Linked DNA regions of Oreochromis niloticus. The protein of the gene in region 1 interacts with the protein of each later gene in a biochemical or structural test. Links are inferred from orthologs where the notes say so. Each region holds a gene or a part of one and is shown in the gene's direction. Other genes may lie near its edges. The genes, in order: irak1, E3 ubiquitin-protein ligase pellino homolog 1, irf7 and irak4.

The links.
Region 2: of the proteins of irak1 (region 1) and E3 ubiquitin-protein ligase pellino homolog 1, one has a biochemical effect on the other in vitro, tested with the Homo sapiens proteins (5 studies listed by BioGRID and IntAct, with this or other methods). The link is inferred for Oreochromis niloticus from reciprocal best matches to the Homo sapiens genes IRAK1 and PELI1.
Region 3: the proteins of irak1 (region 1) and irf7 form a complex in vitro, tested with the Homo sapiens proteins (2 studies listed by BioGRID, with this or other methods). The link is inferred for Oreochromis niloticus from reciprocal best matches to the Homo sapiens genes IRAK1 and IRF7.
Region 4: of the proteins of irak1 (region 1) and irak4, one has a biochemical effect on the other in vitro, tested with the Homo sapiens proteins (2 studies listed by BioGRID). The link is inferred for Oreochromis niloticus from reciprocal best matches to the Homo sapiens genes IRAK1 and IRAK4.

What each region holds. Positions count from the first base shown.
Region 1 is NC_031984.2:5,049,041-5,056,675, forward strand, and holds the start of irak1 (interleukin-1 receptor-associated kinase 1), read left to right. Parts: upstream 1-4,525; 5' UTR 4,526-4,766; coding exon 4,767-4,878; intron 4,879-7,635.
Region 2 is NC_031971.2:1,157,873-1,165,887, reverse strand, and holds the start of E3 ubiquitin-protein ligase pellino homolog 1, read left to right. Parts: upstream 1-5,000; 5' UTR 5,001-5,226; intron 5,227-8,015. Other genes in the region: uncharacterized protein LOC109202627, read left to right, coding at 1-244. UniProt on the Homo sapiens protein: E3 ubiquitin ligase catalyzing the covalent attachment of ubiquitin moieties onto substrate proteins. Involved in the TLR and IL-1 signaling pathways via interaction with the complex containing IRAK kinases and TRAF6.
Region 3 is NC_031972.2:58,805,141-58,812,677, forward strand, and holds the start of irf7 (interferon regulatory factor 7), read left to right. Parts: upstream 1-4,527; 5' UTR 4,528-4,652; coding exon 4,653-4,717; intron 4,718-4,913; coding exon 4,914-5,067; intron 5,068-5,639; coding exon 5,640-5,811; intron 5,812-5,904; coding exon 5,905-6,005; intron 6,006-6,112; coding exon 6,113-6,164; intron 6,165-6,248; coding exon 6,249-6,365; intron 6,366-6,476; coding exon 6,477-6,676; intron 6,677-6,922; coding exon 6,923-7,124; intron 7,125-7,537.
Region 4 is NC_031972.2:47,515,509-47,523,328, reverse strand, and holds the start of irak4 (interleukin-1 receptor-associated kinase 4), read left to right. Parts: upstream 1-4,715; 5' UTR 4,716-4,942; coding exon 4,943-5,103; intron 5,104-5,205; coding exon 5,206-5,351; intron 5,352-5,687; coding exon 5,688-5,837; intron 5,838-6,285; coding exon 6,286-6,446; intron 6,447-6,525; coding exon 6,526-6,590; intron 6,591-6,684; coding exon 6,685-6,799; intron 6,800-6,900; coding exon 6,901-7,010; intron 7,011-7,501; coding exon 7,502-7,688; intron 7,689-7,820.

The sequences.
Region 1 (7,635 bases):
AAGTTGAAAGGAGCCAGCAGAGATGGTTTGGGGATCTGATGAGGATGCCTGTCAGACATGGGCTGGAAGTAGAACCCAGGGGACACACTGTGGAGATGATATATGTCTTATCTGGGCCAACGATTGTCTTGGAATGACTCTAGAGTAACTGGAAAACTTGCTGGGGAAAAGACTGTCTTGAATACCCTGTTGCTGTCACAGTGACCCATCTTAACCCTTTATTTAAAAATGAAGTGAAACTTGTTAAGAGTAAAAGTTTTTTGGAGGCTTGTTTAGCACATATTAAAACCAGATTACCTGCAGAAGAGCAAAACACAAACACAATGCCCCCACAATCTGGCCGCACTGTGGGTAGACCCACACAGTCCATTACTGGCAGCCCACTGTAGCAAGTACTAGCATAAAATGAGGGCACACCTGGACCCCACTGTGGGTCTGCAGCATACCCTCGGTGTGGACCCAGGTGTGTCCCACATTTTAGATTGAGACCCTGTGGGCTGACTACCCGGCCACCACAATCCAGGGCACATTACCACCAGCAACTGGTATGGAGCGTGACTCTTAATTTTTCAATGAATATAAAACAAATCAAATTTTAGCCGCTTCCTTAAGTGTAATTTATGTCCTGGAATTGTGTCAGTCTGCATACACATTTCCGTTTGAACTGAGAGGGGTTTTCACTCACCACAGATGTGCTTCTGTGCAGTCCTCCAAAATCTCCACTATCCGTAGGTGGTGGGTCTGCCAAATCCTGATTGGTTGATAAGTGGGCTGGAACAGGGAAGAGAGCAACAGCGGAGTTCACCAGGAACTGGAGACGCACAAAGCAAACACTGAAGCTCAAAAATAAAGCAAAAATAATAAAAAGTGTCCACTGCAGACACTTTTTATTATTTTTAAAAGTGGATTTCATTTCAGCTCTTTGTAACTTTGCCCTTTTCCTGGGCTGGCTGACGGACCAACAACAGCTGACGGACCAACAACAGCTGACGGACCAACAAAGAGTGAAAGTGACCCACAGGCCAGCTGTACCACATATTTTGTATGCTTCCTCTATCTACAACAGAGTGTGCTGTAGGTAGACGGGCCATCCCCGAGCTGCCAGCGGCCTGTGAACGCATTCCCTCTGCTGAGCCATAAATTCCACTTCATTCACATGTAGTTTGACCTATCAGCGTCGACAAAAACAAGTGATATAAAGGTATAAATCAGTACAGTTCCAGCCATTAACAATTGTGAAGCTGTTTTGGAAACTACTAAACAACTTATAACCAATCCCCATCCCAAGGTCCGACCCAATAAGATACTTAAAATTAGGCAAGTCCAGTTGTTTTCAAGGAATTAAAGTAAATAATAAAAGACTGCCACATCTGTAAAAACTTACAGGCGTTCCCTCTGAGTGTGAATTTGATTTTTTTCCAGTTTTTATAAAAAAAAACACTTAACATCTTTCAGCCAAAGTGATGTAGCTGCAGGATGAAGAGCTTTCAAGGACAGCAAAATTCTACAGTGCACCAACAGTGACTGTATGTATGAATGAATGTAAACCACTACAGTGTGGATCCGCTTCCCCTCAAAGGGGTGAAAAAACCCAACAACAATAAACTCAAATCCTATCAAACAAATAAGCTGACTTGAATATATTGAAAATTGGATATTCTCTGATATCTTTTACTTCTTGCCTGTGCGGGCCTACACTGGATAAACAACAGTTTTGCCTGTTGGGGTCCGTCTGTGGGTTTTCTGTGGGCAAACACACTATGGGTTGACCCACAGAAAACCGTCATGGGGGCCCTGTGGGCTAAAACTACCGTGGCACCCGTACAGGATGACCACAGGGGAGCCAATGAGCGTTTTTCGTGGGCAAGCCAACTGTGCAACGTCATCCATTTTATGTAGTATAACATGAAACTAGTGGTCAAGCCCATAAAGTCAATGAAACCATTCACTGAGGTCACAGAGCGGGGAATCTTAGGGACATTTTTTTCACCATGTGCTTCCACTTGAGTCGCCCCCTGGTGGTAATTATGAACATTGCATTTTTGGCCAATTGTCTTTAACATGGACAATATCAGAGTCAGAAAGGAGGAAAATCCAGGGTATTGTCACTGACTAATGACCCCGTGGTGTGCTCACTTTCACAGTCATATCCACGCCTCACACGTCATGTCCAGTTTCAAAACACTAAGTTGGCAAAAACAATCTGTTTGGCTTTCAACAGTGGGTGGCGTAATGGTGGCACATTTTTTAGTCTTTTTTACCAATCTGTCAAAGAGGTAACTCAGAGAGCCAGACAACCGTTCATGCTCACGATCACACAGTCAGTTTAGAATCACCAGTTAACCTAACTCAATGCATGTCTTTGGGCTGTGGGAGGAAGCCGGAGCACCCGCAGAGAACCCGTACATACATGGGGAGGACAAGCAAACTCCACACAGAAAAGCCCCAGACTGAATTCAAACCCACGACCTTCCTGCAGTGAGGCAGCAGTGGACTGAAATGACAATTATGTAGTAGAGCAGGACCTCAGCATTGGAGGGGACCCACAAAAATTAATTTGTGCTAATTTTTAGAATTTGTCTCAATATCCTTTAGGTTGAGTAGTTTATAGAAAGTATCTTTAAAAAACAATCAAGCAAAAGCCTCAGATATGAGAGCCCAGCTGCACAGGGTGACCGTGAGTCCCAGTGATCTTCATGCAGTCTCATACCTGACGGATTATTAATCTGATGACAAAACCAGATTCTTAAACTTGGAATTTTTTCAAATATCTCCACTGAGGTCAGCAAAACTACCGAGCTTCTCTGTTTTTCGCCGAGACGTGACTCAGTCCTTCGGTTTACACGGTTCTACTTCATGCTGTTATTCTAGCTGTATGTGGTATTAATAATAACAGTTTGCTGTTGTTAATCCTTTGATACAAACAAACTGAACTGAGCTAATGAAGCATTCAGGCGTTTCATTCAACCACTTACATTCAAATAAATAAGGTGAGAAAAAGGAAGTGTGAAACGTGTGTGTGTGTGTGTGTGTGTGTGTGTGTATGTGTGTGTGTGATGTAATGCAATGCAATGCTTCACATTTGTCATAGTTAAGACAGGAAAATGACTCATTTTAGTCAAAGCCACGAGGAAATACTCACTTAGGACTTCCTGTAATGAGATGAAAGTCATATGTAGATACACAAACGAGGTCTTTACAGACATCAGTCCTGCAGGATGTAAAACAAGTATAAAATGTTGTAAGCATAAAAATTAATATAAAATAAGTTAAAATATGATGAAATCTCTTAATATATTACAATAAAGTGTCTCTTTCAGGTGACATAGCTCAATGCATTGCAGGAAACATTAATTGCATTAACATTAATTAACATTAATTGCAATGTGAAAAGGACATTTTATAACTGTAATACATCTACATGTTTTCAAAACTGTTAGTATTTGGATTCCATCACAGCAATCTCAGCACTGACCAAAATAACTGTGATTGAAATCAAGCAGCTCTAGTTCTAATAATATCCTATTTTCCGACTGATAGTTAAAAACCAACAACAACAATCTGGAGTTTGTCATGCAGGAAATTATATTTAACCAGGAAACGGTTACAGTGGAGAAGCTGACACTTTGCATGTAAGAACGACCGGTCTGATGTAATACACTGATACAAATCATGGTATAGAGAAGAGTAATACTTGGATTTTCTGGTTATTTTTGGTGATTTAATAATGAAAAGTACATTTTATGCTTGAGTAATTATCATTAACCCCCCCAAACAATGAATTTAAATTATTTTTGAATTTTGACTGTGCTTCATAAATAAAAATAATACATATAAACAATATAAATAAATTGGAAATTCGGCCAAGCAAAGACTCCAATCTGGCCCCACTGGACAGCTTTTGAAAATGTGAAGGAATACATTTACTTTTAGCTGCATTTTTCTATGTTTTACAGCTTTATTTTCCACAGATAAAGACCTCTCCCATGGTCATTAATGCTAAACCAAACTAATCAGGGAGTGATAAGAAACGTTCCTGTTTTTACTGCTACAGAAATGTCTGTTTGTTATAAAGGATGCACAATTTAAAGTGTCATTTTCTGCGAATTAACAAAAGCTTTCTATATTATTTCAGGATAGTCAATAAACTACCCAAACTTTTTTTTCCAGTAATTTTATAACTTTATGTCTTACAATTTAAACCCAGAGTCATGCTGACAGATTTTTTTCATTTGCCACGACAGCTTTTCTTTGTCATGTAGAAAAACTGAGATGTGCTTTTTTCTGTCCGTCCTGTCTTCTTTTCCTATTCCTATTCCTATTAAGACATCTCGAGGATTAAATGTGTAATTAAACTGATTTAAACTGTCAGAAAGGGAAATTTCACTGGTTTGGTCCACTTCTGATCAAATGGGGGTGTATGGGGCTCACGAGGTAAAACATTTGTTTAAAAAAAAAGAAGTGAAAAGTGAAGAAAAAAGTTTTAAAACGGTTCATTTACTCGGGCTTTTATTTTGGTAGCACGGAGCGGAAGCAGCTAGCTTATTTCAGGCGGAAGCGCTGGAAGACTCAAACCTGTAGTTTGAGAGAGTTTTTGAAGTGGTTGAATAGATTCGTTCCGGGCGGTTCTGATGTGACCCAGTGATCCAGGTCCTTGTGTGAACCTGATACCCTACAGACCGCCCAGAGTTCCTCGCAGTGGTCGCTGTCATCGGTTAGCCTGTTAGCTTCAGCGTGGATTAACTTGTAGAAGGAGTTAGGTAAAGATGTCGGGAAGAGACCCGAGGGCCGTATTGTACTTCAACCTGCCCGCCTCCGTTGACTGTGAGTTCTGCCGCATCATGGACGGGCTGTCAAACCAGGACTGGACCCGCTTTGGTGAGTCAGAACCCGAACATTGACTGAGAGCTAAAGGCCAGCAGCGTGGGGTAGGAGGGACGGTGGAGCCCACCGTTAATTGGGTGTTTCATCAAAATAAACTCTAGCGTGTTTATTCGATGTAACAACTTTCAACTTTAACCGCTGTCGTATGAAATCACTACAGAAAATAAGAATTAAACAAGCTGTGAGAGCCTCAGCTGTGATTCATCCTTCTCGGTCTGCCCTCAGGTACAGGGCTTACCTGTCCCATCTATTTCCACAGAGTTTTAAAATATATAATAATATTAATAAAATATTATTTTAGCGTGAGTGTCAGCTGAGATTAAATCAGGTACAGTTTTCTTCCAATATCAGGTCACATTTTGACTAGAGTTAGTCTAAATATAGATACATTCACCGGTGTCTGTTTTGAGGAAGTCTCTGGTAGACGTTATCTGTAAGTGCACTTGGTTAATATTGAGTAAATACGGAGCACAGGAATGTGACAGAAACTGAAATGCCTGTGTTCTGACACATAATGAAATGTGATTAGGAACAGTTTGAGGTTTCTCAAAAAATCCAGAATGTTTCTGTTTTACTGTAACCTCTCTTAACTAAGGTTGTGTGGGGTTTATTTGACTAAAAATTAGGTAGAGCTCTGTTATGTTGGTGTACTTCATTGAGTTCAGGTGGCTTGAAAAATCTTAAGTTTTCTTAGAATGAAATACACTTTTAAAGTTTTACATTGTATAAGTAGCATTTGGCGATGGTGGGGAGGAAGACCTCTGCCAGTCTTTTCTACTTAAATATAACTTAAGTTTTACAGAAAAAACGACAAAGGCACAGACTTATATTTGAGCATTAGAGAACATTCACAGCTGTCAAAGTGGAACAGTGAAAAGAAATACTAGAGCAGTTAGAGGTGGGAGAAAAGGTTTAGATGTAGGGCTCAGAAACTGTATACAGATGATGGAGCCAGGGATTGTGATGTTATTTTGAAGCCTCACCTTTTAGTGTCTGTGAAGGTTCTCAGTCATCCAGGTCATCGTAGTCAAAGGAGTTTGCAAAGAAAAGCGTCTGGACTTCTTTGAGTTGCTTGAAGATGTTTCACCTCTCATCCGAGAAGCTTCTTCAGTTCTAAGGTCAAATGGCCGAGAGTCCCAGATTTTTCTTTGCAAACTCCTCACCTTTTAGTGTTTTGGCCCCCTGCACCTCTCCTCTGATATCACCATCAGTTCGAATTTGCATCACACTCGCAGCCATCGGAGGCAGCTACTTGTGATCCCTGAGACATCCCTCCATTGTGGCTTATCCTGGTCAGTATAAGCCACAATGGCGACTCTTTATCGAATTACCTCAAGTGGCTATTTAAGGAAAATCAGTTTTTGATACTCGTTTTTGTTTTAACCATGAAGGTTGGCTTGTTGTAGCTCAAAAAAAAAGAGACAAAGTACCACTAATGTGGACTGTTCCAGCTCATATTTTTTGCTGTTGCTGGTAATTTCATTTTTGCCCTGCTGTGGAGACGGCAGAACAAGCACTTCTTTGAAATGAAATGAAACCAGTTGTTAGAACAATAAATTGCCATCGCCTGTACTTTTCCTGTTTGCTTCTTTAGTCTATGTTGGGGTTTTTTGCACCTCTTCCTCCTTGTGGTAAACTCTGGTCATTTTTTTCTGTTTTCAAACTGAAAAGCGTCAGGCCCAGTTGTGTATCCCACCCACATCAGGTGATGGAGTTGTGGTTTGCGGCGGACAGCACGTGCGCTGGTTATGTCCTTGAAATCTCTCAGACAAACTCTAATGCAACACTGTAGCACTGAAGCATGAGTCACAAGTGTTAAGCAACAGATAAAGATGTTAAAAAAATATATAAGGGCAAATGTTGCGCGCTAAATAAGACAAATAACATCACATGCATCAACATGCAGTATGTGTTGTTCAGTAAGTATTTGGAGTAATTTTTATTTTCGTGTTCTCGCCTCTGTACACTTCCACGGTGAAATTTTAAAACAATCATCAAGATGTGGTTCTGGTGCAGACTTTCAGCTTTAATTCGAGCACTTTAAAAAAAGAACCGCGCTAGCTTTCTAGGAGTTACAGCCATTTTTACCCCTCAGCTGTAAAAGGCTGATGGGAATTGTCATTGCCAGGCGGGTGGCGTGGACACCCAAGTTTATGAAAACAATAACTTGAGAACAAGGCAACGTAGGGTTTTCTAATTGATACCATGAGTCCATCTACTAAAAATCTTAGACAAGCTTGAATCTCAGTGACCTCAACCTCAAGGTCAAGGCCAGAGGTCAAGTTTTCTTTAATCATTGCATTCACAAGATTTTCAGAATGAAGTCATCTAGGATTTTCAAATTGATACCATAGGTGCATGCTAGTGATTCCTGAATATCTCTACCTTGCGAAGAGCCAAAACAAATCCTCTTTTTCCTCACTTCTTCTGGAACGCCCTAATTTCCAAGTTCCGACATCTGGATTCAGAGGTATCTGGAATGCAGCATCATGCACAGTTTTAGAGGCTCAAAAGTGATTGGACAATTAACTTGGAAGCCATGTCTTGGCTAAGGGAAGCCTGTTCCTTTGTTATTTCATGACAAACTAAGACAATAAAAGATGTTGATTCAGAGTGTTGAAATTTGCATTAACTCTCAAAAAGAGGCACAAAGAGGTGTTGATATTAATGAGGGAAGCATTATTAGGCTGACAAACACAAATAAAGCTGTTAGAGAGACAGCAATCGGCATAACACAATGGATGTACTGGC
Region 2 (8,015 bases), on another chromosome or scaffold:
CCATTACATTGGCCTGGTTGACAGCTTTGCAGACAACGAAGTGAGTGCCAGATTTCTCAGAAGAATCCGAGGGATCACTAGCAGTAAGAAACCCACGTTTGTGTTCAAGGAAAATGATGAGGCATCTTTCCCACGCAAGGATGTGCTGAAGAAGCTACCTCAACCTCAACAGGCTGGAGGAACTGCAAGGAGGGAGCAACAGTTCATATTCCCCTGCAACCTTGATCATTGGAATATTGAATAGTTCTTTTGAATAAATGGTTTTGAACTGGTGGTTTGTTTAGAAACCACCAGTTTCCAGGTTTGTTCTCACAGGTTTACAACTGTTAAAATGGTTTGTTTTCACAATATGATCAGTTTTACATTTTAAAAACTACATGGTCAGTTTGCCCCAAGATGGCTCAGTTTACCCACTGACTAGGTTCAATTTACCCCTAATCTGGGGCAAGTTGAGCCAAAGGAGCATTTTTTTTTAATAGGTCATTATTTTGGGCAGCGTCATCAGACATAGATTCTGATCATTACATTTGAAAGGAGACATCCTGAAATAAAGGAATATGTTATCATTCTATTTCTGTGTCATTTTTTTCTCACATCCAGGGCAACATGAGTAAAAAGTGGCTCATCTTACCTCACTCTCCCCTAACCCTCTCGTAAACCCTGTTCACCGAAGTCTATTTACCAACATACGTTAAGATATTACACATAAAAAAAAAAACACACGGAAACATTGGAAATCAGTTTTTGGCAGGCGAACACTTTTTGGCACGACACCTGTCCGCGCTAGGGGCTGAACCATTTGTTAATGATGGAGGGGTGGGGGATAACACTATGCAATATATTTAGTTTTAGAATTTATATTTAGTGTTAACTGTAGTTAATGTTATCTTATTTTAATAAACAACACTGTCATATGCAAAACTAGGGTGGCAAGACATCATTTTTGTGTGGCACATGCCACCCCATGCCGCAGGGTTTGTACTCAACTATCTGAGACTGGCTGTGAGTCATCGACCTGCATCTTTAATAAGCATTAACGTCACATCTCCACATGTTGTCTTATCACGTTATTCTACCGTATTTCTTAATCTACGGCAAGGAACATAATACATGTTCAACGGATTAAAGCATATTGGTGTTTTTAAAAACAACTGCCTGACTAAAGACTCAAACCGTGAAACTTCAGAGGATGGAACATTAAAGTGATATTAACTTTAAATAAATATATATGTGTCTCGTTATTCTAGCGACGGAAGTTGTGTTTGAGTTTAATTAATCCAAATTTTAATTGTTTCGATGAATTTAAATTTACCCAGCAAGTTGAACGACGAGTAAATGATACATTAAGTAATAAAAAGTACACGTGTTCCGATTCTTTATGCGATATAAACCACACCGACAATTAACATCCAAACGCCATAAGCAAGCTAATAAAAACAAAGCACTCGAGTCTGAGCTGACCTGCGAGTCGAAAAACGTCTTCTTCTGGTTATCCCTGGATGAATGAATGAAAACGCGGTCAAGAAGCTGGGTGTGGGAAAACATGTGCCGCCAAAAGCGTTAGAACAAGGAAATGCGGAAACATGATGTGTCGGAACTGAAGAATCATATTGTCGCATTATGACTTGAAACGTCGAATTAGTTCGAGTGCTTCCCCCGCTTCCAACCCACTCAAGGATTGTGCTAATTAGTCTAAGGATTGTAACATGCAGTCCTATTAAGCATTCTCATTAAGTTCTTCTTCTTTTAACGAGAACTTGGCAGAGATGATGAGCCCCTTAGATTGGTGAGAAACCAGAAGATACAAATATGGAATGACATTTAGGTTATAACAAATGCGCGAGCAAAATAATAATAATAATAATAATGATCTGAGCAAATAATTTCATTTCACAGGCGCAATTAAATTCCTCGCGCCTAAATTCAACAACGTATGAAGTTATGTGGAGGCGGAGCCCAAAGTAGGACGGGGTCCTTATGTGATTGCTTACTTTGATGGACACTTTCGGTTTTTGGCTTAATCTGAGTTACTCTTATACAGCAAAAGAAGCGCTGTTTTAAACCGTACTTGTTTACAATTTGAAAAATAAAGTTTGCCAAATTAATTATCAACAGTTATTGCTTGCTGTGCAGCAGTGGAAATACACATAACTGTCACTGGATTACTTTAATGCTGAAGAACCAGAGGCATGTTTTATAGGATCTGCAGTGCTGTCCCATTAATCTGCTGTACAGTATTGCACAGCTTCTATGATTTAAAAAAAGAACTCATAACGAGGACCAGGAAAGGAAGAGTGCATCAGAATCTGGCAATTATACATTTGGCCAAAATCCAGACAGTTAAACCAGCCAGTAGAAAGTTGCTCAGTCTGCATCAACAGTGAATTTTGGAGGTGGGAACATGATGGTGTGTGTCTGTTTTTCAGCATATGGTACTGGCACACTTCAAATAATTGAAGGAAGGATGAATGGAAAAACGTACCAAAACATTCTTGATAAAAATCTGCTGCCAGATGATGCCATGGTGCATTTCTTTCAAGTTCATCCCAAAATGTGTTATATTTTTAAAGGAAGTACTGTCAAGAGAAATTGAACCACACACTTGAGTTGGTTAGAAATATGGTGTAGTATAATATTATATAATAAGCTCAAGTCATTCATATCCAGTTATTTACAAAGCAATAGCTATTATTCATTTCCTACTCCTGCATGAGGTTTTTGTAATCAAAGAAAACATCAGTCATGCTATCCTTATGTGATTTTCACAGCACCACAATGTTTTAAGGATGCTTAAAAAGAGCAAAAGAAATAAAAATGTTATTACAATTATCTGTCAGTTGTTTAAATAGAAGTGGAAAAAGCAGAAGAAGACAAAAGTAAAGATCAAAGCTGCTAATGACACCCACCACAGTCATGTCATCAGTGAACTTGATGATGTGGTTCTAACTGTGCATTGCTGCACAGTCGTGAGTCAGCAGAGTGAACAGCAGTGGGCTGAGCACACAGCCCTGAGGGGCTCCAGTGCTCAGTGTGGTGGTGTTGAGATGCTGTTACCGATCTGGACTGTCTGAGGTCTCGCCGTCAGAAAGTCCAGGAGTGGGGGTGGACTTCCTCACCAACACATCATTCTGAGCGTCAAACCGTGGATAGAAGTTGTTCAGTGCATCTGGTAGGGAGGCGTCACCCTGGCAGGCAGGTGTCGTCTTTCTGTAGTTGGTGATGGCATGGATGCCGTGCCACATGCGCTGCATGTTGCCAGGTTGAGTTGAGCATATAGCATATAAAAATGTATAGCATATAAAATTCATATCTAAAGATTATCAGCCTTGTCTTCAATCAGATGATTTAGACCTTGACAGGCTGAACTGTGACGTCAGAGTTTAATCTTCCTCCATAGACTAAACATTGAATTCAGTCTCCTGCAATTCAGTGTTTAGTCTACACAGTGGCACACTGCAGTTAGTAATGTCTGACATGACTGTTAGTGTATGCTATTGTTCCCGTTGTTTGGGAAACGCTTTCCACCTTGGGATCCTAAATACAAATAAAAGAAAAGGCTGTAAAAATCAGATCAAATACTCTCAGTAAAGGAACATGACTCATTTTCCAGGAACTAAGATCACTTCAAAGTTGGACAGTGCTCTTCTTCCATTACCAGCACAGCATAGCGTTTTACCTTAACCGGAAATAACGCTTCTAGGCAAGAGCCTTGTTACAGCTGTTCTGTTTATCCAGTACTTGTTATTTTTGTCTGTTGTCTGTCTCTATGTGTTAGCCTGCCTCAAACTGGCATAAGAAAATAGACGGATCGATGTTTTACGTATAATATCTGATTTAAATTGTGTTGTGACATGACTGGAAAAAATACCAAAAAAAAAAAAAAAAAAAAAAAAAATCAACACTATTTACATAAAAAAAACTACCAAGCTAACTTTTTGAAGTACATTTAGGAACAGGATGAAGCTTGGACCTCTACATCTTTGGGGACGGTTAATCAAAATGAACCAGTTGGTAACTCACTCTTGTCTTTCAAAAGTCTGAGCAGCAGCCTAATGTACCAAAATGCATAACAGACACGTCGGGGTTTAAACAGACATTATTAACATTTTACATACATATTATCCGCCTAGCTTACTCATTTCCGGCGATTAAGGACCCTGGAATGTACTTGACACGTATTTTGCTCACTACCGACTTCTTGGCTTTAAATATATTATCTCATGCGCAGGATGTTTTATGCTTGTGTGCTGTCATCTGTGCTATGTGGTTTACATTCTTCTATAGTTACATTTCCTGTCTTTCATATTTATATTTTAATTGATTGTTACTAAACCATTGCCCCCAGGATTAATAAGTATTCAGATTCTGATTCAGATTTTGATTTGAATTTAGCTGAAAGACCTAATGTGAGGAAACTTTTGACTAACTAAAGAGAATGTCTTATTGGGGTAACAGCTGCAGCAAGTCATAAACTTAGGTTTATGACAATCATAGTTGTTTGTGCACGGCTACACACGCAGACCACAGAGAAAACTGGAAGTACAGGTTTTGTATTTTCATAGTAAAACAAGTGTTAATGGTGCAAACATTTCAGCATCTCAAATAACCATGTTCTCTTAATTAACTATGAGGAAAAACTAAAAACTAAAAGTAGACATGAAAATCATTTTAGTTAACTAAAATAAAAATAAAAACTGGAAAAAAAAATCTATGCGTTAGCCCTGCGACAGTCTGGCGAACTGTTCAGGGTGTACCCCGCTTCTTGCCTAAGAGAGCTGGAATAGCAACCCTTAATAACAGAATGGATGGATGGAAAAAAACTGAATCAATTTAATAAACTTAGAAAACTAAAGAAATGTATATGTATATGTAATTTCGAGTTTATAAGACAAACTAATGGCATTTACTTCAGCTTGAAAACAATTTGGTATTTGAGTAAGTATTGAGTATTTTGGTATTCAAGTAAGTTACGTTGTTTTACTCTGAAATGTGAACCGGAAATCAGTAGCCTTGATAGCTAAGAGGCACAGTTGAGTTTGAAAACGGAGAAGCCAGCGTTCGCTCAGTGTGGGTTTGTTAGGAACTATATCGATAAAACGTCGCCGAACACCTGGTAAAAACTGAAGTAACTTTGACATTTTATGGTCTGAAACGGCTAACAGCGTTTGTTCCCTGGAACAAAGACATCCGGGACATTCGACTGCTTTAAGACGAACAGTAACTTCGGTGAGTTAATTGTCTAAGGAGTTGATTCTTTTCGTCATTGTTACCGCCACTAACGCCGACTAAGTCTTCTGCAGTCAGTGTTAACCTTATGCTAAATAAGTACCTAATGAACTAACACATTCTCTCCTTTTTCTCAAGTTTTACGATCGAAAAATGCTAACTAGCTACGAGTTACCGTAATGACGTTATATAGGGCAACAACAGTGTACCCAATTTCTTAAGCCATTCAAGGTTTAGGTTTAGGTGTAAGCGCTAAATAACCATATACGCGTTTTTTTTTTTCACTGACAAAATCCCAAACACAAGTTTTTTGGGGGGGTTTCTCGTGAAAATGTGTGAGTTTGGGTTAACGTAAATCAAATTTTATCGACGCTTTTTTATGGTCGTATATGGTATTAAATTTCGTAATAAATTACGGTGACACGTCTTTTTCGTAGTGACTTGTAAAGTGGAGTTGTTCTATGCATGTCATAAACGACTCTGAAGTGTCTGCAGACTCCAGTTACATAGCTTCTTTTCTTTAATAGTGTGTCGTACTGATTTGTCCACAATAGAGTGGCCACAAATAGAACTCCAGATATTTAATTAAAATGTACACACAACACTGCTATATTCTACAGCTCATTGAATTCAGGATTTGAAGTTATTATTTACATCAGGTAAAAAAGGTAGTGTGTGTATATTTAGTGTCTTAAACAGGGCTCTGTCCGTGGTGGTACTCCGTCCTGTCCTGTAGCCCAGCTGGCCTCCTTTGTCCTGGCCACACAGACTGATTAGCATTCACCATCCTACCAGAGCATCTGTCTCCACAGACACTGCTTTTGTTCCCCATTTAAATTTTGAAACTTTGTCCTTTTTGTCCATCTGTCCCCTCATATTAAAAGCCTACAGATGTGTCAGCCCATCTTCAAAGACGAATGTTGATCTAAAGCCTGGAAAGTTTTGAGTTCTAGGTGAGAGTTGCACAAGAGGATAAACAGAAGTGATGCTTACAGTTTACGTAAATTGAGATATTTTATTATCAGAATATCACCATTTATAGCTGATTTACATACTTTAACGTTTCTGTGGCTATTGTTCAAACTGGTATTCACAAACAAAAGAGCAGAAAAATTATGATATTAATCCTGAGGACGAATCTGTGAGAGAACTCTGAAATGCTAAGGATGGTAGTTGTCCCAACTTTGTCGCCAGAGAGCCAATCAACACCCAGATAATGAAACAGAAAAGCCATGTCTTTGACTTTCTACCACTAGAGTGAGGAGATCTCTGAAAATGTTGACTTTATTTTTGGCCAGTCCCCACTTTTTCACACCCCTCTTAGGTATATGCAGAACATGCCTGCTCGTGTTCTGGAGGCACCTCTGCGGTATGTGTGTGGAGTGGGAGGTATTTCTTCTTCAGAGGTTATGTGGAATCATCACAGGGTGTTATAGGTCTTGTACCTTGTAGCTGGTCTGGTTTGGTAAAAATCCAACACCTCCGCCCTCCTGTTATTTCTTTAACATTATTGTACATCAGAGCTTATCCTGTTGTGTCCATCTTTTGCTAACTAACTTGTATAGTACCCACAAGTCTTGGCTGACATTTCCTTTGAGCTTTAGGTTAGGATAACTTAATCTTTCATTTCAGCTCAATAATAGTTACAGATCTCAGAGTTTTAGAAATACTGGTTGGATGTTTCTTTCTGAATTTTAACATAGATCTATATCTTCAACTTTTTTCCAAGTAAACTCATAATTTTCTAGCATAGTTCAAAATTTCAAATAGATTTATTTTTAGAGTTTCATCATATACATGTAAGCCATAGAAGGGCTCCAACTCTCATAGCCATGATAGTTCTTTGCACTTTAGGATTGTCTTAATCCTAATAAAGGTTTTATCCCATGCTGGCATTCTGGCCTGGCTAAATAAGTGTGAGCCATCTGTGATTGGTGAATATTCTGCAGTTTTGTGGACTGTAAACACCTTACTTTCACAGTTCACAGTAATGAAACAATATAGTGGTCAGATAGAGGTACCCGTTTGTGTCAGGTGTTATTCTGTTGTCTTCTGTTTTTTTTCATAGTGGATAATGAAAAAAAGTGACTAACAGCTCAATGTACAGTGCTGTGGAAAAGTATTTTCCCTGTTTATGATGTCTTTCTTTTTTATTTTTGGACTTTTTGGCACATGATGTAAAATAATAAACAAAGATGGCATGAGAATTACAAATTGCAATTTGTAAATCATGATTTTATTTATTAATGGTCAGAGGGCCCGGTGGCGCCAGTGTTCGGCAGCCTCGCCTCTGTCAGTGCGCCCCAGGGTGGCTGTAGCTACAATGTAGCTTGCCATCACCAGTGTGTGAATGTGTGTGTGAATGGGTGGATGTCTGGATATGTAAAGCGCTTTGGGGTCCTTAGGGACTAGTAAGGCGCTATATAAATACAGGCCATTTACCATTTACCATTCAATGGGGGGAAAAAAGGCTGTTTAGACATACCTGGCCCGATTTGAAAATGAATTTCCCCCTGAACCTGCTGGTGTGGCACTTTTGACACCAAGAACTGCAAATGTTTGCATGGGTCTTTCACATCACTGTAGAGGAAGTGTTGTTAGTTCAAACCCAGTTGAAATGGAATGTTAACTTTCCAAAAAGTTCACCTTCTGCCTCCTCAGTCTACAGGGTATTTTCTGCTTTGGTTATCATTAAGATGTTTTTTTGGCAAATGTGACATGACCCTTTTGTACTTGTACTCTCCTATAGATTAGGGCTGTTCGATATAACGATATATATCGGATGACGA
Region 3 (7,537 bases), on another chromosome or scaffold:
TCGAAGGATAGCGTCTTGTAGCCTATGGCAAACCCCGGTGTGGTGCCAAGGTTTCGCTTCTCTCCGTAAAAACAGCAGAGGGCGCCGAGTGAACGATCTGTAAGAATAAGTTCATTCAGCACGGTCACTGACACGACTGATCTGTGGACCTTGGTAACCTCACCTTAGGGGAAGTCATATAATCCACACAGTATGCTTCTTCTCGCTTTGAGACATTGTTTAAAAAAAAAAAAAAAAAAAACATGTTGCATCACACCTCCAGGATTTTAGTTTCTGTTTTGAACAAACTGCTTTTGTTTTGAGACATGCTTTGGAACCTACAGGGCAGGTCAGTCTTGGCTCAGCAGAAAACTGACTTCCTGACATAGTGCTGATTAGGCATATCAAACATTATTAAAAATTATATTAGAAATCATCTTAGAGCAAAATTGTAGAATATGTAATCTGTTTCAAAGGGCACTCATTCAAAGGGCAGTAACTGGGCTGGACAACTGCCCAAAAGACACACCTGATCACAGCATATTATTCGAGTATTATCAATTAACCAACAATGATACACAGGGCTGGAAAAGAGGTATCCTATAAATGATCCTAAAACAAGCAATAAACAAAAGTATGGACTGCAATTGCCAGAACTCTGTGTGTGCATACTACAATGCAACTCAATAAAGGCAAACATCGTTACCAGTAAATCAATAAATCTTGAATCAACAAAGGCTATCTTCTTGGAATATCAACCCATGTTACAGCTTCAGATGAAATCTCATTCACCTGTAAGGGCGTGTCTATTTACGAGAAAGCGGTGGTTTTCTTTTTTTCAGTCAAACCATTTTACTCCAGTGTATCAACACCCCCGCAAGTCTGTTTCTTTTCCTTACTTACAATACGTTAAGCCAGCACTGCTCCCTGTTAAAGTATGTGCGTGTATGTGGGATGATATAGCACACAGAGAGAAAGAATGTGAATGCAAAACAGAGAGATGAATGTGTGTGTGGGTGTGTGTGTGTGTGGGGGGGGGGGCAGAATCTATATTTAAAATTCCCAGTAGAAATCCCCTTTAAAGATATAAGAAGTCTGACTTGAAATGCACCTGCTTAACAGAAGTTTGTCCTTCAAGGACAAGCTGAGCGCTTCTTATGTCGCTTGTATGTTATCTCTCACACGCGGGAATGATCTGCTGTTGTGTTCTGCAGACAAGTCAAAATATTACCCTTGAATTATGCATAAACTAGCAAAATAGGATGTGACAATCTGTGTTGTGTGTCAATATTAAAGCCAGATCATTCCTAATTAGCTTCTTTGAGCCTTGGGGGTTTTTTTCTACAAGGTCCAACTACAAGGACTGCACAGTTTTCAGTGAGCAAGAAAAGAGAAGTGATCCATCTACAGCATGAATCACTTCCTTATTCCTGACACAGATGCTTGGCTCTGAGAGCTATATTCCCTAAAAAGTGAGAACGTCAGTAACCCAATCTGTGGTCAGAACATGGTTGTGCAATCTGAAGATTAAAAGTATCTAAAGCGCACAGAGAAACTGACATTTTGTGGTGGGATTGTGGGTGAAAGGTAGAAAGGGTTCCTAGGAGGATAGGGTGAAGAAAATACCTTTCAGTTAGTCTTTCGTGCACAGAGAAATTCTGAAAACACAACAGTGGAAAGAGGAAATGATGCCTGGGTTGGATCAAGTAGCTCAACAAAGGTTTATTCTTCAATAATGCAGACTACAATGCATGCAGCTGAGACACCCCCAAAGCGGTATCACTGTCAGGTTATTAATATTCTTTCTGATTCTACCACATGACACAAGTCTGTACAACACCTGCAGAACTTTGAATCAGAAAGTCTCAAAAACAGAGACACACTGCTTTTAATACACACTGTGGGGTATTCACTGGTGGATTTATTTTTCTGAACTCACTGGAACTTGGTGGTTTCAAGGGGGACTCATTTAGCAAGAGTTTTTAAAAAAAAGTACATCGGGACAGACAAGGTGAAACCATTCAATAATGCAGACTATTCAGAAAATCAGAAAAATGTCAGGTATTATCTGAGTCGAAACTGCTTAAGAGATGTTTAGCAGTTCCTAAATCATATGATAGGTGTGAAAGAAAAGATTAACATATATTGCTATTTGATGTACTGACACACTGTAATAAAAATATTCACCCTGTTATATAATATACTGTGTGTACTAGTGTAATTTGTATATCTCTGTTTTCATATTATTAATGGATGTACAACAACACCTGCATTTATTCAGCATCATATATGTGTAGAAATCTTTGAATACACCAGATTTTTCATACTGAATAAACTGGCATTATTTACATAACACTGAAATGCATAACTCATAAATCTATGGAAGTGATGTATAGAGTCTAGACTGGATCAGTTTAAAGTTCATGGTATACAATAAAAATTGCCGTAAAGCTAAATTTGTGTTGATAAGGTTTTCAAATATCACCCTACTACTGTTGATACTATGTACACTACCAGCCACTTTTTTAGGTACACCTGTTCAACTGTTTGCTAACACAAGTATCCAGTCCAAACAGAAAACATCAAGACAGCCTGATGAAGTCCAAACCATGCATCAGAATGGAGAAGCAAGGTGATTACAGTGACTTTGAACATGTCACACTTATCGGTGCCAAACAGCCTGTTCTAAATATTTCAAAAATGCTGTTCTACTGGAATTTTCATGCACAACCATCTCTAGGGCTTACAGAATATGCCCAGAATATAAGAAAATTAGTGAGTGGCAGTTCTCTGGGTGAAAATGGCTTGTTGGTGTCAAAGGTAAGAGGAGAATGGCCAAACTTCCTTAAGCTGACAAGAAGGCAATATTAACTCCCTCGTTACAACCAAGGTGTGCAGAAGAGCCTCTATGAATGCACAGCACTTCATACCTTGAAGCAGATACAGGTCTTCTGCTATCAGCTAAGAACAGGAAACCAAGGCTACAATATCCACAGGCTCACCAAAATTGAACAATAGAAGATGGGGAAATGTTGCTGTTGGGTCTCAGTTTCTGCTGTGACATTCAGATGAATGTCAAAATTTTAGACCTAAACTACATGGAAGTATGGCTCCATCCTGCCTTGTATCAAGAGTTCAGGCTAGCGGTGATGCTGTTGGTAGTGTAATGGTATGGAGGACATGCCAGCACTGGTTATAAGGCTGTTACTGTCTATTTTTTTCATTAGATGAAGGTGGTGTGTGTGATGTGGACAGAGTCTTCAAAATTCTCCAAAATATCACTGATAGATATATATCAGTGGTAAACATATCTATCTACACATATATATCTATATATAGATATATATATATTAATAACACGTTAAATGATGCATATTTTTAATCAGATGCTCGTGAATTCTCGTGACACTGGTGAAACTCCCAGCTGATCACTATAACTGAACGTGACCCATAGTTTCGGCGGGCAAAAAACTCTTCGAGTAAGCATTTAACTATGGGACAGTAAGCCTATGGGATGATGTAATGATTCTGACGGAGTGACGAAATAGCCTAAAAAAGGCCGACGTCGTACTGAAGTAGTACGCATTACGACGAAACACATTACGACGGGTAGTTACTCCCGTCCTAATGTGTTTCCCCGCGTCGGGAGCGCGCACTGAGCAGGGAGAGCGTATGCGGTTGACCCTGGCTCAAATTCCAAACAACCAGACGCGGAAGTAGTGATGTTTTAGTTTTGTGTAAAAGTGAAAGATGGGTTTTGTTACATTACCGTCAATTTGGTTACAACAGACATTGATACATCATTACGGATTATTAAGAGATAAGAGAATAGGAGGAGAATCTTTAACGCTCAAGATACCAATTTCTCAACAAGTAAACGGCTCTGGTCGTTTTCAGACGTCCTATAAAAATACTATTTGCTCGGATTTTTGCACATCGCCAAAGGTTATGTCTGCTGAGCACATGACTGAAAACAATTGTCAATTGTCTATTTGTTTTTATAAAACAGATTTCTGTAGCTAAAACACAGAAATCCCCCCTTCCCCCAGATAGACCACATGATTGAATAATGGCCGAATGGATATACATTTAAAGTGTTTTTTATTCAAACAAGAAGTCGGTATTTTGACATTTTTCATTCATCCAGGCTGCAAGGCTTCCTTGTCATCACCATAATCTCCGGCTCACTGCACAGATTCTCTATCAGATTGGATATTGACGGTCTGGCTGGGCCGCTCCAAAATGTTTAGATTACTTCCAGTCAGAAGATTACTTTAAACCTACATAAGGCAGGGCGGTGAAGCATTTGGGGCTCTATGTTTGTGTTGCCTATTTGCACAGTAGACACGAAACCTGTTTATGTTATATTCTCTTCTATTAAAGAAAAAAAAACAAAAAAAAACACATCCCTTCTCCCTGCAAAGTGCGCGCTCCCGACGCAAGGGAAACAAATTTCGCTTGGCACGCAGCCAGCGACTTTCAGATCTCTCCCAGTAATCTCCAGCAAGAAATTCCATTATACAAACCCACTAATACGCCCATTACATCCGGTCGGCGAGGCTGTCTTGTAATTGGTGTGTAAGAAACAAGCACTCTCAGCCACTCGTGCCCCGAAAATCCCACGCTGGTGTTACTTCCACCCTCTGAAGGAGGGACTTATAAATGGAGTATAAATGTTAGAAGACGTGTTCGGAAAATTCAGACCGACGGCTTTACAGAGAATCGGTGAAATGCAGAGGTAAGAAGAAACTCGTCTTGTTTTTCTCCCTTGCACATTTAATAGTTAATAGTACTGCGGTTTATTGCTGTAGAATAAATCTGCAGCTTCCAGTTTTGGGAGTTTCTTTTTGAATGTTCTCAGATTTCCCTTGTGCGCTCGTAAGCCGTCTCTATTTATTCACGCTTGTTGTTGTCGCTGTCGTGTTTCCTGTCAGCCTCCCCAAACCTCAGTTCTCCAGCTGGCTATTAAAGCAGGTGGAAACGGGCCAGTACGCTGGCCTGTGCTATGTTGAACCAAACAAGTTCAGAGTCCCGTGGAAGCACAACTCCAGAAAAGACTGCAGTGACGAGGACAGTAAAATCTTCCGGGTAAGTTTATTGCCAGATTAGCCTTTGTTATCCGTGCGATCAGATAAAAGGGTTAAAATGACTATGTTGACATTTTTACTGAAATAATAAGCTACTACATTGATGAGTAAGCGACTTACAAACTAAGCGTGTGCTTTAAATAGTTCCAAAAATAGTTTTGTTGAGTTGTTGTTACTATCAGGCTGGAGTTGTTTAGCTTGTTGCAGCTGTTCCCAGAGGCAGTTATGGCATCATCTCTAGTGGTGACACTTGAGTCAGTGATCTTGAGTCAAAGAAATCCTGTACTAATGTTTTTGATACATTTAATGTGCAAAACCACAGCTTGTTTTCATACTTAGAGCACAGTTATACGCCGGTGCCAGTATTAAAGGAATTCTACAGATTTCAGCCAAGTGTCTTCATTTTTCACAAACAGCCACTTCAGTTTAGATGTGAAATCCAAATAGTGTGTGAAACAATTAGGAGGTGCATGTGAAGTCTAATGTGTGTAATTATCTCATAAAATATATAGTAAGTTTGAATTTTCTACCCGGCTGTCATTATGTTTACACCTCTCTGCATTTCCTCCATAGGCCTGGGCAGTAGCAAGTGGGAAAATTAATGAGTTCCCTAATGACAAAGCCAGGTGGAAAACCAACTTCCGCTGTGCTCTGAACAACCTCTCTGTGCGCTTCAAGATGGTAAAAGATAACTCCAAGAATTCTGATGACCCACATAAAGTCTATGAGATTATCAACACTGCACGTAAGCTAATCATCACTTAAGCCGAGATTCTGGGGTAAAACCGTTCCGAGTTTGAATGCATAAATAACGCTGATCTTTCATCTTTCCCTGAAGAAAACCAAGACGGTCTGGCAACACGGGACCCTTGGGAGGACGCTGACATTATACCAGATATATACAGCTCTTCCACAGAGTACCTCCTTTCAGCAAATGAGGTTCAGTATCACATAAAGCGCTCTTTCACTTCTCTTAGTTGGTGTAATCTCACTTGTCTTTGTGCTTCTAAATATTAACTGTTTCACTGCCTCTCCCCAATAAACAGCATGATCTGGTTAACGATTTGATGGCCTTGGGTCTTGGCAGCCAGTCAACAGGTAAAGTTTGTGGATCGCATTTGGTTTTCTGTGGTTTATAATGGAGGTTAGTTGTAGTTTAAAATGATTTTACTGTCAAAACAGAGGAGCAACCATGGACAGAGAACTATGGCCAGCAAAATCAACCCGCAACTGAAAGCTATCCTGTAGCAGCCGAAAACAACCCACAGCTTTTACCAGTGCAGCAAATCTGTTATGGAGGTATGTTTAGACAAATTTCTCTTCCTGGATGAAAGGTTTACTAAAAATATGTGTACATAGTTACCCAAGAAGGAGGGATCTGTTGTCTATTAACTGTTTTGTTTTGTACAGTAACTCCTGCACCAGTACTCACTTCACCTCAGCCGGGGCTATTTGACCTAGAGGTCTCCATCCACTACAGGAAAAAAGAAATGGTAAAGATGACTTTGAACACTCCCCGACTGCAGCTCCACTACAACTCAGAGGCACTTGGGTATGAGGCATTCAAACTCTGCTTCCCCTCCACTGATGGTCTGCTGGACCACAAACAGGTATAATCATACCATTAGCTAGATGCATGTTTTACACAGTTGTACCATCCAAGCAGACACTAGAAATTATGTTTATTATGTTACTTCAGGCATGAAGCTGACAGATTCTGAGATACTGTGTATGTCACAAATAAAATTTGACTTTAGAATACGATAGATGGATTTTACCCCTACTTTTAGGTACAGTATACTGCTGTGTGATGAGGCATTTTCATGTTTTACTCACCACAACCTTCTTATTACCAGATTGAATACACCAACCGCATACTTAATAGCATCCAGAGAGGTCTATTCTTGGAAGTGCAAGAAACTGGTATTTATGCCTGGAGGCAGGACAGATGCCATGTGTTTGCCAGCACCAGTGACCCTAGTTTGGCTAATGCAGAGCCAGCAAAGCTTCCCCAAAACACCATGGTGGAGCTCCTTAATTTTGAAAAGTTTGTGAATGGTAGGTGTAGATGTTTGCTCATTTATATATGTGTATATACACCATATACTGCTGAAGTATGTCTGTGAAGGTTCTTAGTCATCCAGGTCATCATAGTCTAAGGAGCTTGGAAAGAAAAGCGTCTGGACTTCTTTAAGTTGCTTGAAGACGTTTCATCTCATAAGCCCTGTTCAAACAGAGGTGGTGGCTCACGGCACCAACTGTCTGCCATCCATAATCCAGTTTTGAAATCCCTTCCCAGATGCCTTAATGCCCACTCACATCCTGGGCCTTCTGACCTCTGGAAATCACATGATAGGGTGGGGCTATGTTTCATAATGAGTTCACCCAAAACCTTGGCTGATTGTGACCTACACCCATTTTCACACCTTGGCTCATGTGATTAGGTAGAGGATCATTAGGGGGTCCATTGT
Region 4 (7,820 bases), on another chromosome or scaffold:
CATAGCATCTCCATTTACTTCCAAACTTGCCCTCTGGTTCTGTCAGTGTACATTCGATCATTGCCACAATTGTGTTGCAGCTTTCCTTTGAGGTGCAAAAACTCCTATACCGCCAAAAGGATTCGTTCACTCTTCCAAATTATTCAGTTCAGGTGTTTCAATCACTTCCATGGGCACAGGTATATATAGTCAAGCAGCCAGGCATGCAGACTGCTTCTACAAACATTTGTGAAAGAATGGGTCACTCTCAGGAGCTCAGGGAATTCCAGTATGGTACCGTGATAGAATGCCAGTTGTGAAATTTCCTCGCTGTTAAACATTCCACAGTTATAGTGGTACTATAGTAAAGTGGAACTTAATGGTAACAGCAGCAACTCAGCCGTGAAGTGGCAGGACACATGAAATCACAGAGCAGGATCAGCAGATGCTGAGGTACATAGTGTGCAGAGGTCACCAAATGTCTGCACAGTCAGTCGTTACAGACCTCCAAACTTCATGTGGCCTTCAGATCAGCTCAAGAACAGTGCATAGAGAGCTTCATGGTATGAGTTTTCATGGCCAATCAGCTGTTTCCAAGCCTTACATCACCAAGGACAATGCAAAGCACTGGATGTTGTCATGTAAAGCACCCTGAGACACTGGACTCTAGAGGAGTAGAGACATGTTCTCTGGAGTGACAAATCCCACTTTTCCATCTGGCAATCTGATGAATCAGTCTAAGTTCATAGGTTGCCAGGAGAACCATGCTTATCTGGCTACACTTTCCAAGTGTGAAGTGTGGTGAAAGGGGACATTAGGTGTTTTTCAGGAAATGGGTCGGCACCTTAGTTCCAGTTAAATGAACTCTTAATGCTTCAGCATACTGAGATATTTTGAACTATTTCATGCTCCCAACTTTGTGGGAACAGTTTTGGGACGGCCCCTTCCTGTTCCAACGTGTTCCATCATGTGTTCCAGACATGCATTAAAATTTAACTATACAACTGATTTTAATTTTTTGAAATTTGCAGATTTTATTCACGTTACTTGCAAAATTTTAAAAACACATTCCCTCTTAATAAAACACACATTTTCACTGTGGTACAGTTGTGATGCATAATGCTGAACACATGTTTTAAAATGGTATATTTGTATATTGGATCATTTGCAACAAGCACCAAATGGTTTTAATGGTTTTAAAAAAAATACTCATTATTATTTGAGAATTGTGCCTTTTATGTCCCCTGTTATTGTGTTTTATTGTTATTCCCTATCTGCTTTAGTTTTGAACTATATCACAGTCCTTTGAAAATAATATTCTAATGGGATTTTTTTTTTTATTATATAAAGGCTACATCTGCTATTCTGAGGGTGAAATTTCTCAAAATTTTTTCCAAAACATTTCAATAATTTTAACAATTTTAACTGTTCAACTTATTAAGTTGAACAGTTAATAAGAGTTTTCCAGACTCCTAAAAGCTATGAAACAATAACGTCTGCTGCAAAAAAAATATCCCACATGTAACCCCATCACCATCAAGGTCATTTGGGAAATAGACGTAATTCTGCCTGTTATGCAATCACAACGGACCATATAGCATCCGTGGCTAGCACAGCTTCTCATTTCATGTGTCCTTGTTTACCATTAAAGTTTCCTAGATATCACATGACTTCCTCAGATCACTTCCTGCACCTGCAGCGTTTCCACCCGCTGATTTAAGCCACTTTGGCACGTCTACCACCTCTGCCCTTGTTCCCAAACTACAGGGGACCTCGCTTTCTGCTCTCCCTCACATCTCCACCTCTCCTTCGCTTCTATCAGATCCTCTTCTCCATCTCTTTCCCTCTGCACTCTAATTATCGAGAGCCTTCTCCCCTGTGCTGGCTGTTAGTTTTCCTTTTTTGTGTTGTTGTTGTTTTTTGAACTTTTATACTTCTCCTCATCTTTAGCGTCAGACTCTCCCTTTCCAGCTCTCTTTATTTTCTTCTCCCTTCATCCTTCCACTCGCCACAGGAGAGCAGAGGCTCTGGCTTCACTCCCTGCCTCTGCGTGTGATGCGTGCATGCAGTGTTTGGATCCTGTCAGTCGGGTTAGAGGAGGCACGAGATGATCAGGCACTTCAAAGAATCTCCTGCGCACAGGTGTGAGAGCTATCCTTCACCAGGAGCACACACAGGGAATTTACCTGAGCTCTCGGCAGCTCAGGTCCTCGTCAAACAAGCGTCTTCTTTGATGATCTCTTGGGCACCGCTGGCTTGTGTTCGCACCCCAGGTTAGCACACATACACAGAAAGAAGACAGGTACAGATACACTCCAACTCCTACTAACAACATACAATTGCTCTAATGAAGTCCCATGTCATTATGCAGAGGTACTCAAATGTCCTCACCTGTCATTTAATAATAAACAACTTCTGACGAGCTCCAGTTGGTCTCATGTATTATGTATTTGCAAAAGATGGCATCAAACCTCAAGCATAAAGAGAATACACACTTTTGGGCACCACAATTGCAGTAATGGCTCTCATTGCTTTTCCTTCACAAAATAACTTAATTGCACTTTGGTTATTTATGTGGTGAAGTCTCCTTTTCATGTAATGCAGACCATCTGTATGCATTGTCATAGAAGTTGTTTTTAAGTTTATGAGTCACTAACTTTTATTGAGAGTATCACTCGTGGTGTCATCAGCCAAGCCTATAAAAATATAATCATAACAGGCCTGTGGGTTACAGTTGGCTCTCTCTGCTTAGATCATCTCTTGTATGCTCCTTTCACAGAGACATAGTGAAATGACTCGCAACTGTGTAAAATCATGCAAATGTTGCTTGTCATCATCGGGACTCATCAAAATCACATGCAGCATTCAAGAATTGTGTTAGCGTGTGTTGTGAGTTCAGTCTGTTGGTGCAGTGATGGCCATGTGCTCGGGGTCACTGGTTTCACAAGCTCCATGCTAAAAGTAATAGCCTTACATACAAACATTATTTATGTCTTACTTAAAATAGGTGTTGGATGACTTTGGGTAGATTGAGATGACATTTTTGAAGTTTGCATTTGAATATAATTTAATAAACAAAAGTTGAACGCAATATTTTTTAATGTAAGAACAATCGTTCAGAGAAGGAGTGAGAACTGTGCCCATGCATGACTGAAAGTTTAATATCAAATAAGATCAAAACTCAAGCACACTTGAATTTTTGCTTTGATGCAGTTTGGTGTGTGCACAGTGCTAGCAGCAGGTCTCTGTGGATGGTTTGTTTGATGGGTTGAGCTGATGTTAATAGCTCAATAAATATCAAATGGATTTTAATTTCACTTGTTCATATTAGCATTTAAAACATGCTATTGTAAGACTTTTCTGATGCAAAAAAAGTTTTAATCTTGTGTGTGGGTTTTTTGTCTGAAATTTATGTCTCTCACACACGCATCTTGCACTTCATCACTCCACCCAGTAATCCATCCCATCCAGTAATACAGCTAAGCCTTCCATTTGCACATGGAACTGATCACAGTTCATCAAATACAGTGCAAATAGCAACTAACACACCATAAACAGATCCAGCTTTTTTGTAACACAGAAACAACAAAAAAGGTACTCCAAGCAGTTTAGACCAAATGCCTCCAGCTGTTTGCCAAATTTGTTTGACATGAGATGGCTCGATCGAGGTCACCGCCTTGATGTAGTTTTAAAGTTTCCAAGAAAAAAAAATCAGTTTGTCCTGCAACACATTTGGGGAGTTTATTTGGGGTGGGGTGGGGGCGGGGGGGGGGTGTCTGTGCTGGACTGTGACTGTGATTTAAACACCAGTGAAAAAAAAAGTGCCTTATGGGTGATGGATAGGCTGATCGATACCTAACATCCTGCAAAAATGACACCCTTTGGTTTACATTGTGTGTTGATGTAGCAACATAGTAGTTCATAAATGTCCAGTTGAGTGTTTAAATCATGTATTCACCATACACAAATAGGTACAAAAAAGATGTGTGTTTGTTTTTTCATAATACTTACTTATATAGCTATATGATCACATTTCCAAATGAATGCATGCGTTAAACCTAGAGTTTAATAAGAGAAGATGAAGATCGAGATTGAGAAGATGTTAAGGGAACTATTTTCTATTTTCTTCTGTTTTTGTGCATTTAAATTATATGCATACAAGTATTATAATATTTGATATACGCAGCAATTATTATGAATTCAATCACAGTTCTAAGGTCTCTCTGTTATTCATTCCATCCATCCTTTTCTGCCTATCCCAGATATCATTTGGGTGAGAGACAGTTTACACCCTGAGCAGCTCGCCAACCTGACGCAGGACTAAAACAGGCAACCATTCACACCAACGGGCACCACTAACTGCATGTCTCTGGAAGGCAGAGCACCCACGCAGACACCATGCAAACTCAACACAGGAAAGGCCCAGCCGAGTGGTGGACTCAAACCCAGGGTGTTCTTGCTGGAAGGCAACAGCACTAGCCATACACAAACAGCCCCGAATGGAAGATTTGCTTTATTTCCATTATCCACTAGAGGGCACTGTGACACTGTAAACCACCATCACACGACAGCTGTCTCCCTTTCTGCTCTTGTGCTCTTGTGTTACCAAAAAGATAATTATATAAATAAACACACGGAGGTTTATTGTTAGTTTGTTGTGCCCGCTTACAGGTAAGAACAGCCAGCACAGACTGTATTATACCACAGCACTCACTCTTTGCGTTTCCGCTTTGTAGGCGGAGACCTTTTGTGGGCCAGCCCTGCTGGTTACGTTTGGGGAAGTTGCTCAATATCGGAAAACACTGTTTTTTTAGGTATGTGAGCAAAACATAACTGTTTGCGATTTTTCTGGATTAAAGAATCCACTCGATGGAGTATAATTAACGTCTTCAGGTCTAAGATCATGACAACATGACTGTTAGATAAAACCCAATCTCGGGTTTGGTCACAAGTTCCCCGCAGAATGGATAGTTCAGTAACTTCCGCTACTTATATTCGTAACCTCGGTTATTGTTTACGTCGCAAGTTGTCCGATTTTTTGGATCCTCAGGACAGGTGGAAAGAAGTTCTTGTAGATATACAGAAACCGAGCGGGGAGCCGAGGTATTCCCAGCTTCATGTCAGGTAAGATGGGGGCAAACTTTCTGACGTGCTTGCTTTTCACTGAATGAAATCACACTGATTGTTTACTTATTGTTTACTGAATATGTGCCGCTGTCTTTTAAGGAGATTTGAGGGTCTTGTTGCACAGGGTCGCAGTCCCACAATGGAGCTGCTCAATGACTGGGGGACCACCAAGAGCACAGTGGGTGAACTTGTGGACATTTTGAAGAGTCACGAGTTACTGGCTGCTGCCAATGTTCTGCTACCCGGTATGACTTTTAAAAGCCATTAAATAGTAACCACACGCAACAGGTAGAATAAACCTTTGAATCTTAACTTACCCCAAATCGTTTTCCCAGTATCCCCCCTTTTTTTAATTCTTGTAAGAAAATAAGATGTTAACCACGAGTTATGAAATTGCAATAAGAGATGTAGCAAAAAACTTCTGAACTTTTTGGGTAGTGGATGAGTAAACATCTGTTATGTTATATTAAAGGTGTGATGCCTGGAACATAAGGGGAAACAGTCAAACCGCACTGATACAGGATGTAAAACCCAATCATTTATTCTGATCATTTTTTGTTTTTGTCCTCACACATTTGAAGAGTCCAGTCCATTGGAGACACAGCTGACTCCTTTAAAAACCCGAAGCACTGCTTCAACCAGACTGCTGGAAGAGAGAGATGTGCAGCAGCCTGTCACCACTGTGCTGCAGCTTCGGACGCCAGAGGAGAACACCGAACCAATACACACAGGTCTTTCACTTTTTGATTATGTATTAATTTTATGTTCATATCTTGATTGAACATATGACATTGAACATATGACACGTATGACATTTATTAACACAGTCACTTATGAGTCATATTCATGTGATGTTTTTAAGTAGATAATGTTCATCTTTCATTATCTGCTGAAAAGCCTGGTTTCAGTGAATTAAAATGTCATATCTTTCTCAGCACCATGTAAATTTGCCACTGCAGCACTAAAGTAGTGCAATAAATCTACTTGATTACATTAGAGCACTGTAAACAAAGCTGCTCTATAGTGGTTTAGGGTAGTCAACAAAGATGATATTTTGATTTCAGTAAGTGATGCTGCTTCTTTGTAAAGATGTGATTTTATGTAATCGACAGCAGGTGGCAGCATCGGGCTCTTGATCAGAGAAGTTAATGAGGCAGTTTACTGCGTCTCCCCCCTTAGGCTTCTCCAGTTTCTTATATAGTGACCTGATGAGGATCACAGGCAACTTTGATGACCGGTCCACGTCAGCTGGTGGCAGCCGAATTGGAGAGGGAGGCTTTGGGACGGTATACAAAGGTCTCCTGGATGACAAACCAGTTGCAGTGAAAAAACTCAATCCAGTAAGTGAAAATATTTTTAACAGAACCACATGCCTCTGTGTACTGCTGTTAATTGCATTTGAGATATTGTATTATTTAGGTGGACGACATGCCACTGGACAAGTTGCAAGATCAGTTCAACCAAGAGATCCAGACTCTGAAAGTGTAAGTTTCCCTCAGGAAGAAGGTGAAGAAGCATATTTAACATACGTGTATTTACAAATGCAGGTGTGGTTTAATAACAGCATTTGTTCCACAGGTTGAAACACGAGAACTTGGTTGACATGGTTGGATTTTCCTGTGACGAACAGCACCTGTGTTTAGTGTACGCTTTCATGGCCAATGGATCTTTATTAGACCGACTGGCTTGCTTTGTAAGCATTATTTACTCTTCTACACAAACAGTCTGCTTTTCAGTCCCAGTGCTTTCAGAAAGGGATTTAATTACATGCTTTTTTTTTTTTTGTTCATTTAGGAAGGAAGTCCTCCACTTTCCTGGCACCACAGGTGCTTGATAGCAGAAGGAACAGCCAAAGGTTTGGAGTATCTGCACTCCAACCATCACGTCCACAGAGATGTTAAAAGGTTCATAGAGCGAAAGCTTTCATCGTTATTGGTTTAGAGATATCCCACAAAGAAGAGAGAAAATGTCCCGTTTTTGATGTCCCGTACCTTTATGGAACACTATACACATTACATCACATTACTGTGTTAGACAAAGAACCAAAAAAAGACTGGGGATGTAGAGAAAGCTTACCCATATGGTTTTCTGCAGATCATATGACAAGGTTCTCTTTAGAGCTAAATAAAAATTAGAAAAAGGTGAAGATCATGAAGATCATGAGTAATTAGTAATGCAACAGTACAGGTTGGGCACGAAAGGTAGAGTTTGGTAATTTAGTGAGTTTTATAGAGGCTCATGAGCAAAATCATGCAAGAGGTATTGATGTTTTAGTTTAACTCTTGGCAAGGAAGCCAGTAAAATCACATTTCCCTAAATGTAGAAATATACATTTTACATGACACATGACGGGATGTTTTGTTGCTCACTCTGGCTCGTATTTCTTCCCTGTTAGTGCGAACATTCTGTTAGATGAACAATTTGTGGCCAAAATCTCAGACTTTGGTCTGACGAGAGCATCGGCCAAGCGAACATCGACGACCATGATGACTGAGAGGATCGTGGGTACCCGTGCGTACATGGCACCGGAGGCGCTAAGAGGAGAGATCACACCAAAATCCGATGTCTTCAGTTTTGGAGTGGTAGGCTTTCTTCAGACACACACACACAGATACACACAGATAGGGCTGGAGAAACTGCAGCTGTAATGTAAAATGTAGAGCAGTACTCAGCACTTTCCTTGACTCCAAGGTTCTCCCAAACTACTGACACAT